Linked DNA regions of Caenorhabditis elegans. The protein of the gene in region 2 interacts with the protein of the main gene of each other region in a pairwise test. Each region holds a gene or a part of one and is shown on either strand. Other genes may lie near its edges.

What was found. Proteins that work in one complex are often made in the same cells at the same time.
Region 1: the proteins of R06F6.8 (region 2) and Y71G12B.27 interact in a two-hybrid assay, tested with the Caenorhabditis elegans proteins (one large-scale study listed by BioGRID).

Annotation. Positions count from the first base shown.
Region 1 is NC_003279.8:1,795,324-1,801,054, reverse strand, and holds Y71G12B.27 (Cyclin-dependent kinases regulatory subunit), read left to right. Parts: upstream 1-2,332; 5' UTR 2,333-2,409; coding exon 2,410-2,553; intron 2,554-3,403; coding exon 3,404-3,616; 3' UTR 3,617-3,620; downstream 3,621-5,731. Other genes in the region: Y71G12B.5 (Apolipophorin), read right to left, coding at 1-184, 1,140-1,338; rml-5 (NAD(P)-binding domain-containing protein), read right to left, coding at 4,714-4,994, 5,602-5,704.
Region 2 is NC_003280.10:10,812,751-10,822,592, forward strand, and holds R06F6.8 (Guanine nucleotide exchange factor subunit R06F6.8), read right to left. Parts: upstream 7,229-9,842; 5' UTR 7,200-7,228; coding exon 7,188-7,199; intron 7,136-7,187; coding exon 6,995-7,135; intron 6,946-6,994; coding exon 6,835-6,945; intron 6,785-6,834; coding exon 6,323-6,784; intron 6,269-6,322; coding exon 6,177-6,268; intron 6,097-6,176; coding exon 5,559-6,096; intron 5,432-5,558; coding exon 5,139-5,431; intron 5,043-5,138; coding exon 4,751-5,042; intron 4,153-4,750; coding exon 3,170-4,152; intron 2,776-3,169; coding exon 2,550-2,775; intron 2,501-2,549; coding exon 2,383-2,500; intron 2,335-2,382; coding exon 2,202-2,334; intron 1,567-2,201; coding exon 625-1,566; intron 568-624; coding exon 498-567; 3' UTR 199-497; downstream 1-198. Other genes in the region: ech-4 (Delta(3),Delta(2)-enoyl-CoA isomerase), read left to right, coding at 8,282-8,334, 8,383-8,989, 9,035-9,532; R06F6.12 (uncharacterized protein), read right to left, coding at 9,711-9,842. UniProt on the Caenorhabditis elegans protein: Probable component of a guanine nucleotide exchange factor (GEF) that may be required for efficient fusion of endosome-derived vesicles with the Golgi.

The DNA.
Region 1 (5,731 bases), on a different chromosome or scaffold from region 2:
CTTCCACTAGCCAATGTTAACGTCTTTGCGCAGAGAATGAACAGCGCGTCGATTGATGCAGCACCGAATCCATTGATAGATACAATATAACTGATTCTGTCGTCGGAGAGGGGCTTTGCTGATTTAAGAGTGAAGGAGAATGGGGTGCCAGCAGGGAGTTTGCTTAGAATTTTGGTGGCGGTTTCTGAAATATTTGAGTTATGTAGTGTGTCGGGAATTTGAGTGGCATGGTGCGAAATTTAAAATCTCAGAGGTTTTTGCAAGGCGGTTAACAATTATGGGGTTATTCAAGTAATGTAGCAAAATGTATTTAAATACATTTGTGACGTCACAAATGTATTAAAATACATGTTTTTATGTATTTTAATACAGCTGTGACGTAATTTTTCTACACTTTTTAATTTTCTGACACTACTTGAATAACCCCATTACGGAGGGATTCACAATAGAGATTAGGCTAGTGGTACATCCATACATATGCGCTCTACTGATAATTTGAGTTTAACCAGGTTTGGGCGAGTTTTAAAAAAAAGTTTTGGTCCAAAAAATGTAGAATTTATTATCGGACATTTTTTTACATGCACCAAAAAATGTTCGACCAGCCGTTTTTGAGGAAAAAAAACCCGCCCAAACTTCCAGGTATACGGTAGACAAATTACGTACAGGCCCCCCTTCTCGGGTCGTGTTAGGGCTCCCAGCAGAGTGAGGCGCGAAATGCGGGCCTCACGCCGACCTCCGCGCACCGATGTGTGTATGCAACGAAGTGCGAAGGGTAGTTATTTGGAGCGGCCGACAAGTTCGGGGTTCCGCAGCTTGGCGTGAAACGAGTAGCTTGGTGTGTGCAGTGCACAACGTAGTTCGAAACTGTGGTTGGCGGCCGACAAGTTCGGGGTTCCGTGCCGCACTATACATTCGGATACATGCGGCGTGAGTGACGCCGACACCGTGAGGCCGGCGCGGCTACCGCTGAGGTCGGCGCGGGACTCGTTGCGGCGACCTCATGGGAGCCCTAACAGAGATGTTAAATTGTTTCAAAATAGCACCGAAACTACTTAATTATAACTTTGCGAGAGCTTACAGATCATTCAAGAATCCCGTCAATTTTTCAACATCTTAAGGAAATTGCCTAAAACACTCACCCTTGTCATATTTTCCCTTGCATCCTTGAAACGAGAACCCATCGGAAAATAGTGTAGCAATCCGGGAAGCATCTCTAGTAGCAATTTCATCTGACACTTTGCTCAAAAACTCCTTGACAGTGGTCTCGGATCCATCGGCGAGTCCATGAATAGTTCTGAAGAGAAGAAAAACGAGAAGAAAATAATTTGTCAGCCACATATTGTGAGGCGACTATCTGCGGAAAAGACGGGATGGTGGGCTCCTTTTAAGCGACAAGATGGGCGGTATGATCGTTATGAATAATCGAATTATTGGAGGGACGGGAATTGGGAATTGTTGCGGGGGACGACACGTCAGCACAGGGAATCGAAAATCAAATTTGGAAAGATGGGAAAAAAATCAAGAAATCTGCAAAATTCGTAGAAGAAAGATGAAAGTGTGGGGAGCTTTTAGATTCGGTAATGTGTATTTTCTATAGAATCCCCCAAAGTTTCGAGTTTTGACATTTTTCATAAAAATTTGATAATGCCAATCGATTTCAATTGTTAAAAAAAAGCAAAAGTTGTATTTTTCAAAAATTCAAAAGTACTGAAAAATCATATGAAGTGCTTCTTTTTTCTTTTATAATACTGTTCAGCATGATCAGAAATACCAGAAAATACTAAAAAAAAGTATGCTAGTCAATCCGGAACATATTTTAAAAAATTGCACAATTTGACCAAAAGCTGTATTTTTCAAAAATTCAAAAGTACGCCAAAATCATATGAAGTGCTTCTTTTTTCTTTTATATTACTGTTCAGCATGATCAGAAATACCAGAAAGTATCAAAAAGAGTATGCTAGCTTGACCGGAAGATTATTTTGAAAAATTGCAAAATTTAGTTAAAATCTATTTTTTCAAAAATTCAAAAGTACTGAAAAACCATATGAAGCGATTCTTTTTTCTTTCATAAAACTGAAAAATAAATGAAGTAAATAAAACGATGCAAGCGCGCTCCAATGCGAATTTGAAAAAATTATGCGGGGGCACAAATGAAATTCGGCGATTTCAAGCTCAAATATAAAATCAGGGATTTTTTTGTTGAATTTTTTTTACATCGATATTCGGAATACTCCACGTGATTTGTAAAATAAATACAACATTTCAGAATTTAAAAAAAAAGAATTGTCCACGTAACCTTGCCCCCCCCCCTCTTCCTAATTGTTCCAACAACATTTCCAAAACTCCTCAACAATCATTCATTCCCTACTTGTCGTACAATTAACATCGAAGAATAAGAGTTTTTGAAAAATGGAAGATATCTACTATTCGCCACGTTACGAAGATGATGAATACGAATATCGCCACGTCATTCTTCCGCAAGCCGTCTCGAGAAAAGTGCCAAAGGGAAGACTTCTTAGTGAGGCTGAATGGAGACGTGCTGGAGTTCAACAGGTATATTTTCAATTAAGTGATATGTTAAGATTTTAGGAAAAAAATCGATAATTAAAAAAAATAGATTTTTCCAAAAATCGATAATTCACAAAATTGATATTTTGAAAAAGCCAATATTTTAAAATATTTTTTATTAAATTAAGCAAGGCTCCCAGCCGAGTGAGGTGCGAAATGTGGGCCTTACGCCGGCCCGATAATTTAATTGCCGGTTTGCTGATTTGCCGGAAATTCTCATGTTCGGCAAATTGCCGGTTTGCCGATTTTCCAGAAATTTTCAATTCCGGCTATGTGCCGGTTTGCCGATTTGCCAGACATTTTCAATTCCGGCTATGTGCCGGTTTGCCGATTTGCCAGACATTTTCAATTCCGGCTATGTGCCGGTTTGCCGATTTGCCAGACATTTTCAATTCCGGCTATGTGCCGATTTGCCGATTTGCCAGGAACTTTCAATTCCGGCAATTTGCCGGTTAGCCGACTTGCCAGAAATTTTCAATTCCGGCAATTTGCCAGAAATTTTCAATTCCGGCAGTTTGCCGATTTGCCGATTTCCAGAAATTTTAAACTTCGGCAATTTGCCGGTTTTTTGATTTGCCAGAAATTTTCAATTCCGGCTATGTGTCGGTTTGCCGATTTGCCAGAAATTTTCAATTCCGGCAATTGGCCGGCTTACCGATTTGCCCGAAATTTTCAATTCCGGCAATTTGCCTTTAATGAAAATTTGTTTTAAATAAACATTAATATGTTGATAGAATCGATATTTCAAGAAAACCGATAGTCATAAAATCGACGAAAAAAAATCAATATTAAATTTCTGAATGTGGCCGAATTATTGATTTTTCATACTTTTCAGTCACTTGGATGGGAGCACTACATGGTTCATAACCCGGAGAAGCACATTCTCTTGTTCCGTCGGAAGCGCCATTTCACAAAAGCCGACGAGGAGCGTGCCAAAATGGAATTGTTGAGAGATATGGAAGTGTTCAATAGAGCGCAACAGCAAACGACAGCAACCGATGAGAAATTGAACGCGGTTTTCTATGAATTTGTGAATAAAGCAGTGTAGATATTTTGTAAGACTTTGGGCTTCCATGGGTGAGCGGCGGTGCGTCTCGCGCCGGCCGGCCATCGCCGCTGTTATTTGGAAGCGTCCGACACGTTCGGGGTTCCGCGCCGCACTATACATGACTGAGGCGTCTCGCTGGTCGGCGAAGGCGCCTCGCCGGCGCAGGAATGGAAGCCCTAGTAATACCGTATGTTCAATTAAAAAGCGCCGAAAATCGATATATTACAAAAGTTGCTTTTTAAAAAATCGATATTTTGGGAAATCGATATTTCGACAAAAATCAATATTAAATGAAAATCGAAGTCATAAAAATCAATATTTTGCAACAAAACCCGTATAGAATAAAAATCTCGGCCGCCATAAAAACGAAGCATAAAGATTTTTATTTCAAATTTTATGTTAACAAAAATTACAAATTTGTTTTGAACGTAGAGTACACCAGGGGCCGGCAATTCCCGTTCGGCAATTTTTTTTGTCCACAAATTCGGAAAGTCGGCAAATTGCCAGTTTGCCGATTTGCCGGAAATTGTCATTTTCGGCAATTTGCCGGGTTGTCGATTTGCCGGAAATTTTCATTTCCGGTAAATTGCCGGTTTGCCGATTTGGCAGAAATTTTCAATTCCGTTAATTTGCCGTAAATTTTCAATTCTGGTAATTTGCCAGAAATTTTAAATTACGGCAATTTGCCAGTTTTGCCGATTTGCCGGAAATTTCAAATTGCGGCTATTCACCGGTTTGCCGATTTGCCGGAAATTTTAAATTCCGGCAATCTGCCGGTTTGTCGATTTTCCGGAAATTTTCAATTCCGGCAAATTGCCGGTTTGCCGATTTGCTGAAAATTTTAAATTCCGGCAAATTGCTGGTTTGCCGATTTGCCGATTTTCCGGAAATTTTCAATTCTGGCAAATTGCGGGGTTGCCGATTTGCCAGAAATTTCCAATTTCGGCAAATTGCCGGTTTGCCGATTTGCCTGAAATTTTCAATTCCGGCATTTTGCCAATTTGCCAGTACAACACTAATTTCAAAATTTATTGATTGAAAAAATCGCAGAAAAAGGAATGCTTTAAGTTCAAAAATAATTTGCAAAAATTCAATAATTAAATATTATTATTAAGTCCTCCAGTCTTGCATGCCTTAATCGATTCCAGCACGTTTTTATCGATTTTCTGTCCAATTATGAGCGTTTTTTCGAAATATTCCAACATTTTCCCAGTGTATCCTTTAACGGCAAGAGCTGAAGACTCTTGGCTCATAGAAGTATTTCCAAAATGGGTGAAGTGTAGGGAGAACTTTTCGGCAATACTTGCGAGAAGCCATGGAAAATAGAGATTAGTCGCCATATTGGTACGGAGAGTGAAGCAGTCGCCTTCGAATGAGTCTGGAATTTGAAATAAAAAGCTTTTTTTTGGCCCAGAATTTTTTTCTCGGTGAAAAAATATTTTAGCGAAAAAAGCTTTGATTGAATTTTGAGACAAATTTTAAGTCCAAAAAAAATTTTTTTTTTGACATTTTTGAATTTTTTTAAAGCATAAATTGACATAAATTTCGACCAAAAAGATTCTTTCGTGGCCTAAAAACTTTTTGCGGCCACTGGCTTCCCTCATAAATTGAAATGGAAGAGTTTTTGCCGAACTAGGCCATTTTGGCTCGGCCATATCTGGGGTAGATTTACGGCGCGTTTCGTGTCGCGTCGCGGCTTGATTTTAGTTGTAAAACTAAATGTGTTTGTCCGTGTGGAGTATACGACTTTCCCACACGTTTTCCGGCGGGCGATTGTCAATGGAGCGCGAAAAATTCAATGAGAAAGGCCAGAACCCGTGATTCGTGAAATTGAATTTTGAGACAAATTTTAAGTCCAAAAAAAATTGTTTTTTGGCATTTTTGATTTTTTTAGCGTAAAAAGAAAAGCATTTCCGACCAAAAAATATAATTTCATGGCCTAAAAACTTTTTGCGGCCACTGTCTTCAGCCACCAAGTCACTTACCGGTTTCATTTCCGAAATAAACCAAATGGGATGGATTGATTGTGTTAATCTCATCGATAACCGATTTATCAGTGGCTTCTTGCAGATTTGTGATTGTGGATTCCTGGAAATTAGTTAAGTTTTGACTTTT
Region 2 (9,842 bases):
GATTTGAAGCTCGGCAATATGCGGAGCGTTTGTGAAGAGGAGTATTTTGCGCGTCAAATGTGTTGCCCCATACGCATTCACAGAATTTTGTGTTCATGTAATAACCTCTTTCATGGATCCCTTCTTTCGTTTCTTCTTATTGGTCAGCACCCCCCTCCACCCTCCCATCTTCAATATAGCTCCTCAAAGATGAACAATAAAATATCGATATTCATAAGATTAATAGGTTAAAGGAAAAGAAAAGAAAAAGAAAAAGGGGGACACAAATAAATAATAGAAATCTAGATTATATCCTGACATAACTCTAGCACCGTTTATTTTTAGCAATTGTTTGTCGAGTGTATCACACATCACAGTTATAGACCTATACATAATACATGAAAATGGCAAAAACCAATGGGAGGGAGGGGATATCATAATTGAGAAGGAAACCTGTGTGAGAATTTGGATTTTCGAAAAAAAAGATTTAAAACAATAATTGTGGGCTTTTCCATTGGCTACATGATTGAGCATCCTTCTTCATTGGCTTTCTCAAGAGCATCCTCAGCACAAACGACATCATCATATCTGAAAATTTCACTTTTTTAGTCTCGATTTTCAATTTCAAAAGTCTTTGGATATTACCTTTTCACCGATTTATGAGCTCTATCTGCGCTGCGACTCCGTTCTCGTCTTCCTCCATTCATTCCATTTAATTTTGGATTCGAAAACGAATTATTTAGCTTAGAACTTCCAGAATCCGCTCGTCTCCGGCCGCGTTTTGGATCGTCAGCACTCGTTTTCTGTGAAGCTTTCCGATTCTCATTATCAGGTGAGAATTTGAGATCAGCACATCCTGCTTGTTCGGCAACCACTGCCAAATGAGCATCGAATGCTTGTAAAAGTGCCACGTATCCACAGCATTTCTCGACCGCCCATCTCGAGAGCTCACTGCACGCGAATCGAACTCTGGCGAAGCTCTTCTCACCGGCTCTTCGAACCATCGAAACGTTGATCTCCTGTCGAAGCTTTCGTTCATCCCGACTTAACAGACAGAAAAGGAATATCCAGTCAATAGTAGCAGTCTGGGAGAATAGAGAAAGAAGAAGTTCCAGTTGATGACTACTTTGCAAATTTCCACGCGAAGATTTTTCTCCAACTAAGAAATCAGTATTCTGGTAGCAGTCTCCGGCAAGACTTCGAGAATCACAGGATGAAGGTGACGGTGGAGCCAATGGAGCATGATGATTCATTGAAGAAGATGTCGATGGGGATCTATCGATTACTGGTGCCAGTTCCACAGCACTTCCACGTACTCTTTCCAGCACGGCTTCTTGAATCTCAACGTCTTCTTCGCTAGCTTCAATATCCGTTTCACGAATTCTCGATCTAGCTCCATTTAAATCAACTACAGTCCTTTCCAATTTTCTGGCTTTAGGCTTCTTTATATTATCCAATGAGTCATTTAGTAGTCCATTCAAGCTTGCAGTACTCTGGCTGACACGAATATTTCCAAGCTTCTTCTCAATTTGATGCACGAATTGAGAACCGATGAGAGGATATGGCCACGAGAATTGAGCATGGAGTCTGAAAATTTTTGAAATTAGAGTTTTTTATATTAAAAATATTCCCAATTTTTATTGAAAATCGACAAAATCGAAGGAATATTCAAAATTTCCGATAGTTTTTCAATAATTTTTTCTCATCAAAATTTACATTTTTCTGGTTAATATTTAGCTTCTGGGTTTTTCTCATATATTTTTACAACGCTTAAAATTTTTTTTAATTTTTCGATTTTCAAAATTTCAGTTTTTTTTTTTTGAAAGATAAAATTTGCATTTTTTTCCAATAATTTTAGATTTTAAAAATTCCCCCAAAAAATGTTTCGTGTTTTTTCTTTAATTATTATTTTTTACAGAAAATGTAACAATTCAGAAATTTAAAAATAAACTTAAATTTTCGAGTTTTCCAATTTTTCCGAGAATTTAAAAATTAAAAAAAAAACGGGAAATTTAAAATCAAAAATTTTTTTTCCGTATAATGTATCATTTTTCTGAAAAACACGAAAAATCGGAATAATTAAAAATTTAAATTTTTTAGTATTAAATTTCAAGTTTTTTTTTCGATTTTCAGATTCTCGAAAAAACTGGAAAACTCGAAAATTTAAGTTTATTTTTAAATTTCTGAATTATTACATTTTCAGTGGAAGAATCCCAATTTACCTTGTAAGTGCCAAGGCAAAATCTTCAATCAAAAAGCAATTTTCGTTTGTAGTTTTCGGTGAAAGAGAAATTTGTTTCCGTCGCGTCTCCAAAAGACCGAGCAAATCGAATTGAAGTTCGGACCAGAAGAATCCTGAAAAAAATTGAATCCAAATTGTCCTGAATTTTTTTTTCCAATTACCAAGATCTAGAAGCCAATAATTATTCAGCAAATGCCACGCGTGATCTTCTAGAATTGATGTCATTTTTGCGGCGAGTCGATTCGTAGCCAATTGTGGAGAAAGTTCACCAGATAGGCCCTGAAATTAGATTTTATAAAAATAAAAATTTCCAGTAAAACACACAAACCCAAGACAACGCCATTTTATCCTTTGAACTTCCGCCAATCGAATCTTTTCTCGGTGCATCTTTTTGCTCAGTACTCTGTGAATGTCGAACTTTATTTAATCTTCCTCCAGCAGCTCCCGCTTGAAATCTATTAATCACGAATTCAGTGGAAGAATCAGCGGACGGTGAGGATACTGTAGGTCGGCGGGATAGAGAAGTCTTGGCACTTGGTGGAGGTGTTCTGAAACTTTTTAAAAATTAAAACAATTGCAAAGTTATTATCAAATTTTATTTTTGTTTGCTTAAAAACTACGGTAGCCGGTCTCGACACGGCCAATTTTTCAAATGCAAATGTGTGGATTACGGTATCTAATAATTCGTTGTTGCGAATTCAACTTAGTTTCGGTCATTATTCTATTTCTGAACACATTTAATTATTTTTCAAAGTGGGTGCCGATTCTGTGGATCGTAGCGTGAAACGGATACGATAACAACGGTGACCTTGATTCTGAATACCTCGCTTGATAAAAGGAGAGTTACGGATGTAGGGCACATGTATTCTGGGAATCTTTTTTCCGTGCGTTCTCTTTTTGGAGGCATTCTTTTTTAATTTCTCTATTAATGAATTCATTAATTCTTACAATGCATCAATATCCTCCGAACCAATAGATCTTGCAAATCTGACCATTTCCTTCGCAATCGTCCATTTTTTCTCTTCTAATGCTTCCTTCACAAGTCTCGCTGCTTGATCCATACTCACTTCGGTGGTTTCAAGATTTTGCAGGACAATCACGAAACTTGCAGCATTTTCGAGTTGTTTCAGTTGTAGACATTCTTCGAATAGTGCATTTGGAGATCCTGTGACATCAAATAACGTTCTCCAAAGTGCCAATTCAGTTTTTCGTGCACAATGTGCTACGGTTTTCAGAAATTCTGGAAATTCGTGAATAAAAGCTACACATCTTGGGAGAAGAGGATCTGGAATTGGTTCACTACTTGTAGCTTCTTCTTCAAGGACTCCATGGAGCAAAAGCTCAAGAGCATGCGTGAAATGTGGAAGAGAACGACAGGCTCCGGCGAGCTCCAAAGCAAAAACTCCAAGATTTCGCTTCAAAAGTTGTCGGAGCAGGTGATGCACAAATACTTCACTATTGCGATGAAGTCCATACATAGTGATACTTTCCATTTGTCCTTGATTTCTTGAAGCTCTTGCAACATGTTGTAGTTGACTCTCGACACCCATTGCAAGACAATCTTTGGCACTAATCACAATTGGATAGATATCAAGTTCAAATGGAAGCATTATTCGTTTCGCGATAAACGTCATTTCCTGTGTGGCTAAATTTCGTTTTCCTGGCACCAACGGCATCCAAACTTTGATTCCTTTTGCACCACAAGCAATCCATAAAGCATTACTCAAATGTGAAGAACATGATTGATTCATTGGAGATGATGGTTCTGAAGTTGTTGATGTGGAAACACTTTGGATTGAAACATTTGATCCATTTCGCCGATGGTTCTTCCATGGAAGATCTTGATTTTGAGACTGGGTTGATTGGGAGACTTGACAACGGTCATGCCACATTTTTTCCACGTATGACGCGATTACCATGGGTTGATGGAGCTGTAAATTTTATTTTAATATTGTATTTCCGAATTCCAAAAATTTCTAATTTAAAAACCAAACATTTCAGAAATCCCAAAACTTCCAAAATTCCAGAAAATTCAAATAGTCTAAATTTGAATCATTTCACAAATTCAAAACTTTAAAAAATCCGAAAATTAAAAAGAAACTGAATTTTGCAAAATTCCAAAATTGAAAAATTCTGAAAATTGAAAAAAATTAGTTTAACCGAGTTAACCGAGTATTTAGGAAAAAGGAAAAATTTTTCATGTTTTAAAAATACTGAAATTCAAAATGTTGAAAAATCTAGGAACGGAAAAATTTTGAAATTTCTAAAAATTGAAAATTATTAAATTTCGAAACAAAAAATTCAATTCCAAAATATTTTAATTTTTTTTAAATTCCAGAAAACCCAAAAATTCGAAAACTCTAGAAGTTCTGAAAATTCAAAAAATTCAGAATGTTTTAAAAATTTCTGAAATACCAAAAATTGGACAAGAATATAAAATTTAAAAATTCCAAAAATTCTAAATATTCATCAAATTTTGCAAAATTCTGGAAACTCAGAAACCATGCAATTTTAATTTTCCGTACAAACCTTTCCATCCTCATTAACACTCAAAGTGATCAATCTTCCCGAAATATTAACCAGCACAGTATCGATACTTGAATAAAATGCAGGTGACAACTTCCCCCGTACATCCAGATTCAGCTGTGTCATTTGAAGAGATACAATACATGTTGGATGTGGAACAATTTCGTTGATTCGAATAACAGTCACAATTTCAGTGGAGACTTTTGTAAAAGCATCTCGTCCAGTTTCCAAGTGAGCCGTGAGCTTATAAAGCGTAATTTGAGCCGATATATCGAATACTGCACAAACGTCGTCGCTGGAAAAATTGGGAAAATATTAATGTCACTGAATCTAGAATAATTCCAAAAAAACTGATAATGAGAGTTCATTTCCAAGATTGAATATTTCTTACCGTAACACGGACATGACCGATTTATGCTCCAAATCCACAACCGACGCATATCGACTGTCAAGTCTCTGAGAAATTGGATAAAATGAGAGATGGGACTTGTCAGTATCCGCAGCAACTCCAACAACTCCAATGACGTCATCATTCCAAATAAAGACACCTCCAGTGACCAAGAGATTCTTCTCTTGAGTCTCATTTCCAAAAATCTTCCAACGTCGATTGGATAATGAACAATATGCCATTCCTTGATCACCGGCCACGACGAGATGTTTATAGTTTCGATCAGTTGATGCATACTGAAAACATATTAAATTTTAACATTTTATTTTAATAAACTCTATCGGAAAATACCTACGTGCCTACATGCCTACCTCATGGTTTTACCAAATTTATGCTTTTAGTTTTTACTTTTAAAAAACTCACTCTCAGTGGCCAATTAGATGATAGATATTCATGTGTAACTGTAATATGATCCCATACAGAATGCGGTGCACAAGCTTCTGCTTCTCGATCCCTTGCAGCACTGATCAAAACCTGCGAGTCACTCATCAATACAGCTCTATCACAATGTTCCATTGCCGGGCTTGAACATGAAGCACTCCTCACGAATGGTTGCATCATAAGCTCATTTTCAGTTCCAAGCCACAGTTGGAAACCTTCTGGACCCCATTCAATAGCCGTGTATCTATCATTTTGATCTTCTTCGACGACACCTTCCAGATTGCAAAATGATTGAGCTCCGAATGAAGTGAAAACTGCGACGAGCCGAGGAAGAGCATGAGCTCCGGATAGTGGAGACCAAATTGCACCGAATCCGTATCCATTCGCGAGGGCTGTTATTCGGTGAACCGGACCCAGTCGATTCGTCAAGTCAGGACCATTTGTTACTTTTGGAGCAACTCGGAACGATTGAACGAGTGAGCCATTTAGTTCATCGATGTTATAGGCACAAACGTCGCCGCTGGAAATAGTTTAGATTAAAAAGAAAACTGTGCGTTTGATTTTTGAAAATTAAAATCTGAAAAATCTGAAAAAACTCACTTTTTACATCCAAAAAGAATCAGAAGGAACTTGTGATTCACATCGCAACACGTGGCATCTTTCATATTCGGAGCCCACACTCCCAGAATTGCCTGGAATAATAAAAAATGGGTTTTTTTTTTAATTTTTCATGATAAAAATCTCACATTAGGTGCAAAATTCGGATCATTCGACGTCAATAGAGCACCTTGACCATCGGAAAGTACAATCGCAAATCCTCCGAGAAGTGGAGCATACACGGCGTCAAAGATATACGTGGATTTTGAAGTAATATTTTCAGATTTCGACTGAAGTTGATCCACGGAGAACGGAATTGAACTGGCACGGAATGAGAGGCTTGCAATAATCTCTCCAGTCCAAGTGACATGATGAGTGAATCCATTTTGAAGGCAAACAAGAAATTCATCACGAGAAGGAACACAACATGTTGGTATATCAGCCAGATTTATGATTATTGTTGGATGAAGATGAGCTGTCGGTCGAGATCCTTTTATAAAAAGTTCCGGTGAGTTTCGTTGGAAATATGGATCCGCAGAGTCTGTGAAATTGTAGCATTGTTCATCGTCTCGCAAATCTAGATTATAGATTAAAATTTTGCATTGATTTGTCTGAAAAATATAATATTTTCAAAGAAAGAACTGTAAAATTTAAATATTACCGTTACAGCTATACTTGTTGAGTCAGGTTTCCAGTAAATTTCTTTTAATTCTCCACGTGTTTCTTTGAAATTGGCATCGATAACCCCGACGGAGCACAGGAGCAGTTGGGGCTGAATTTATGTTTTTTTAATCAGATTTTTATTAGTTTTCAGCACTAACATTTGCCAGCCAAATGTAAATCGCATCATTTGTTGCGACTGCTATCAATCTTCGATCTCGATTTGCCACAATTGACTTGATATCGGCGGCAGTCGAATCCTTTTCATGCTTCGGAAGCTGGAGAACCGATGGCCTGTCATTCTGGAATTTTCAAAAATTATTTTTTATTAAAAAAATTCTAAAGGAAACTTACAGGTATGAACATTCTATGCCAGATCCATCAAATGTTGTATTCTGTTGAAAAATATTAATTATTCGGGGGAAAACGGTTTTTTGCGATTAAAAGCTCAGTAATAAAGAAGCGCGTTCAATTTTTAGCAGATTCAATTCGACATCTTGATTTAAAAATTAGGAGATTGATTTTATTTTGTATTTGGAACGCAAAAACGTTTCAAACAGAATAAAAAGGCCTCCAGCTGTGAATATTTTTCAAGAGCAATCGCGCTCGGTTGCCACGCGTTAGAGGGCAGAGACGCAGACTTTTCAAAAATTTCAGGCGTTCAGGATTGCGTGGATGAAAATGATTTCACTCGAAAAATAACAAATTCATATTTAAATAATAAAATTAACACCAAAAAAAAAAGAATTAACAAAAAAAAACAACAAAACAATTGAATCAGAGTACTGTAGACAAAGTATTGTGCATTTTGTAGTTGCCGTGAACAAGGGTGTCAATTCCCGTGTCCCGTTTGTCCCGTTGTCCCGTTTTTGGGGTGTTTTCACGGGAACGGGAATTCTGTTGTCCCGTTTTTAAAATTTTCACGGGAACGAGAATTCCCGTTGTCCCGTTTTTGTAATTTTTACAGGACACTGACACCCTTGGCCGTGAACGTCCTTTGTCTGCAAATTTTATTGATTTTATTTATCAGTTTTCTGATTTCTCCTAGGAGGGGATTTCTCCTAGGACTCCTAGGGATTATAATTTGATTTTCACTGTTTTTTCTAATATTAAAATCTTAATTTCCAGGTTATCTATACAATTTGAGCTCTCTTTTAAAAAAATTGAAACTCCAAATTTTCCTGAATCTATTATTTATCCCATTTATAATTGCTCCACTATTGTCTTGCGTATAGTAGCGATTGTCCAGCTACACATTACAATGTGTATTCTTGTGTGTAGCCAGTTCATTCAAAACAACAAAAAGACGGCGGCCGTTCTTATCATTTACCCGGCCCCTCCGTGTACCTTGTTCTTTTCTTCACGTTGTCCATTTTCTTTCTTTTTTTCTCTTTTCCCCGAAAAAATTAATTATAACGTTTAAAAAATCAATTTTAATTCATTTCAGAATGCTTCGAAATCTCACCCTCGCCGCTAGAAGTGTTCTCTACAATCCGCAAGTGTAAGTCTGCAAAAATCATCTAATTTGTGAATAAATCTTCAATTTCAGTTCCGTTCGCTCGTTCTCTGCCCAGGCTGACTTCGAGAAGGCGCAGAAAAATCTGAAAACTCTGAAGGAAGAGCCGGACAATGACGTGAAACTGCAGCTCTACGGGCTTTTCAAACAAGCCACCGCTGGGGATGTGCAAGGAAAACGCCCGGGAATGATGGATTTCGTTGGAAGAGCCAAGTATGATGCCTGGAATACTTTGAAGGGACAAACTCAGGATGAAGCTCGCGCCAACTATGCTAAACTGGTCGGTGGACTCATTTCCGAAGAAGCTTCTGCTGCTCCAGAACCAACTGGGCCATCAATCGAAGGACTTGAGAACGTTGACGGTTTAAGTGTGACTCGCGAGGGAAAAGTGTTCAAAATCGCATTGAATAGACCAAAGAAGTTCAACGCATTGACATTGGAAATGTATCAAGGAATTCAAAAGGCACTGGAGGTCTCCAACAATGACAAGAGCACCTCAATCACTGTGATTACTGCCAATGGATCATATTACTGCGCTGGAAACGATTTGACTAATTTTAAAGCTGCTGCTGGAGGTACTAAAGAGCAAATTGCGGATATGGCTAATACAGCTAAAGTTATTATGAAGGATTATGTCAATGTTAGTTTAAAAATATATATTTCAATAATAAATTCAAATTTTCAGGCCTATATTAACCACGAGAAGCCTTTGATTGCTCTGATCAATGGCCCAGCCGTAGGAATTGCTGTGACCGTGCTCGGAATGTTCGACTACGTAATTGCAACCGATAAGGCCTCATTCCACACTCCATTTGCCCCACTTGGACAATCACCTGAAGGAGTTTCGAGCTACACGTTCCCACTGATCATGGGATCTTTGAGAGCTTCTGAGATGCTGTTGGTCTGTAAGAAAATCTCAGCCCAAACTGCAAAGGATTACGGGCTTGTGAATGAAGTTGTGCCAGACGCTGAATTCCAGTCACATGCTCAAAAAACTGTGGAAGCGTTCTCCCAACTTCCGCCAGAAACTCTTCGTATCAATAAGAAATTGCTCCGTTCTCTGCACAAGGAGAAGCTTCTGGAGGTCAACAATATCGAGGCCGACCAGATTTGCGAGCGTTGGCAATCCAAGGAGTGTCACCAAGCGATTGCAGCATTTATGACAAAAGGAGCAAAGAAGTAATTGTTTTGTGCCCTCTTAAGTTTTACCTTTTTTGTAGATTTTTTATGTATCTAAAAAGAATTATGTGTATTTGATTGAACATGTGCAAAAACAAAATTAAATGATTAATTTACAACAATAGAATTTTAGCAACATATAAATAAATGAATCCATAAATTTCGAGTAAAAATGAAGAATATCAACTGCTTTGCTCATCAAGAACTATAATCTTCTCACGAGTACATGAATCACAAGCTGGTAGCCGAATAACAATGTACGATGGCTCCTTCTGGTAGACCTTCTTATCACAAATCGGGCAACAAAAGTTCGG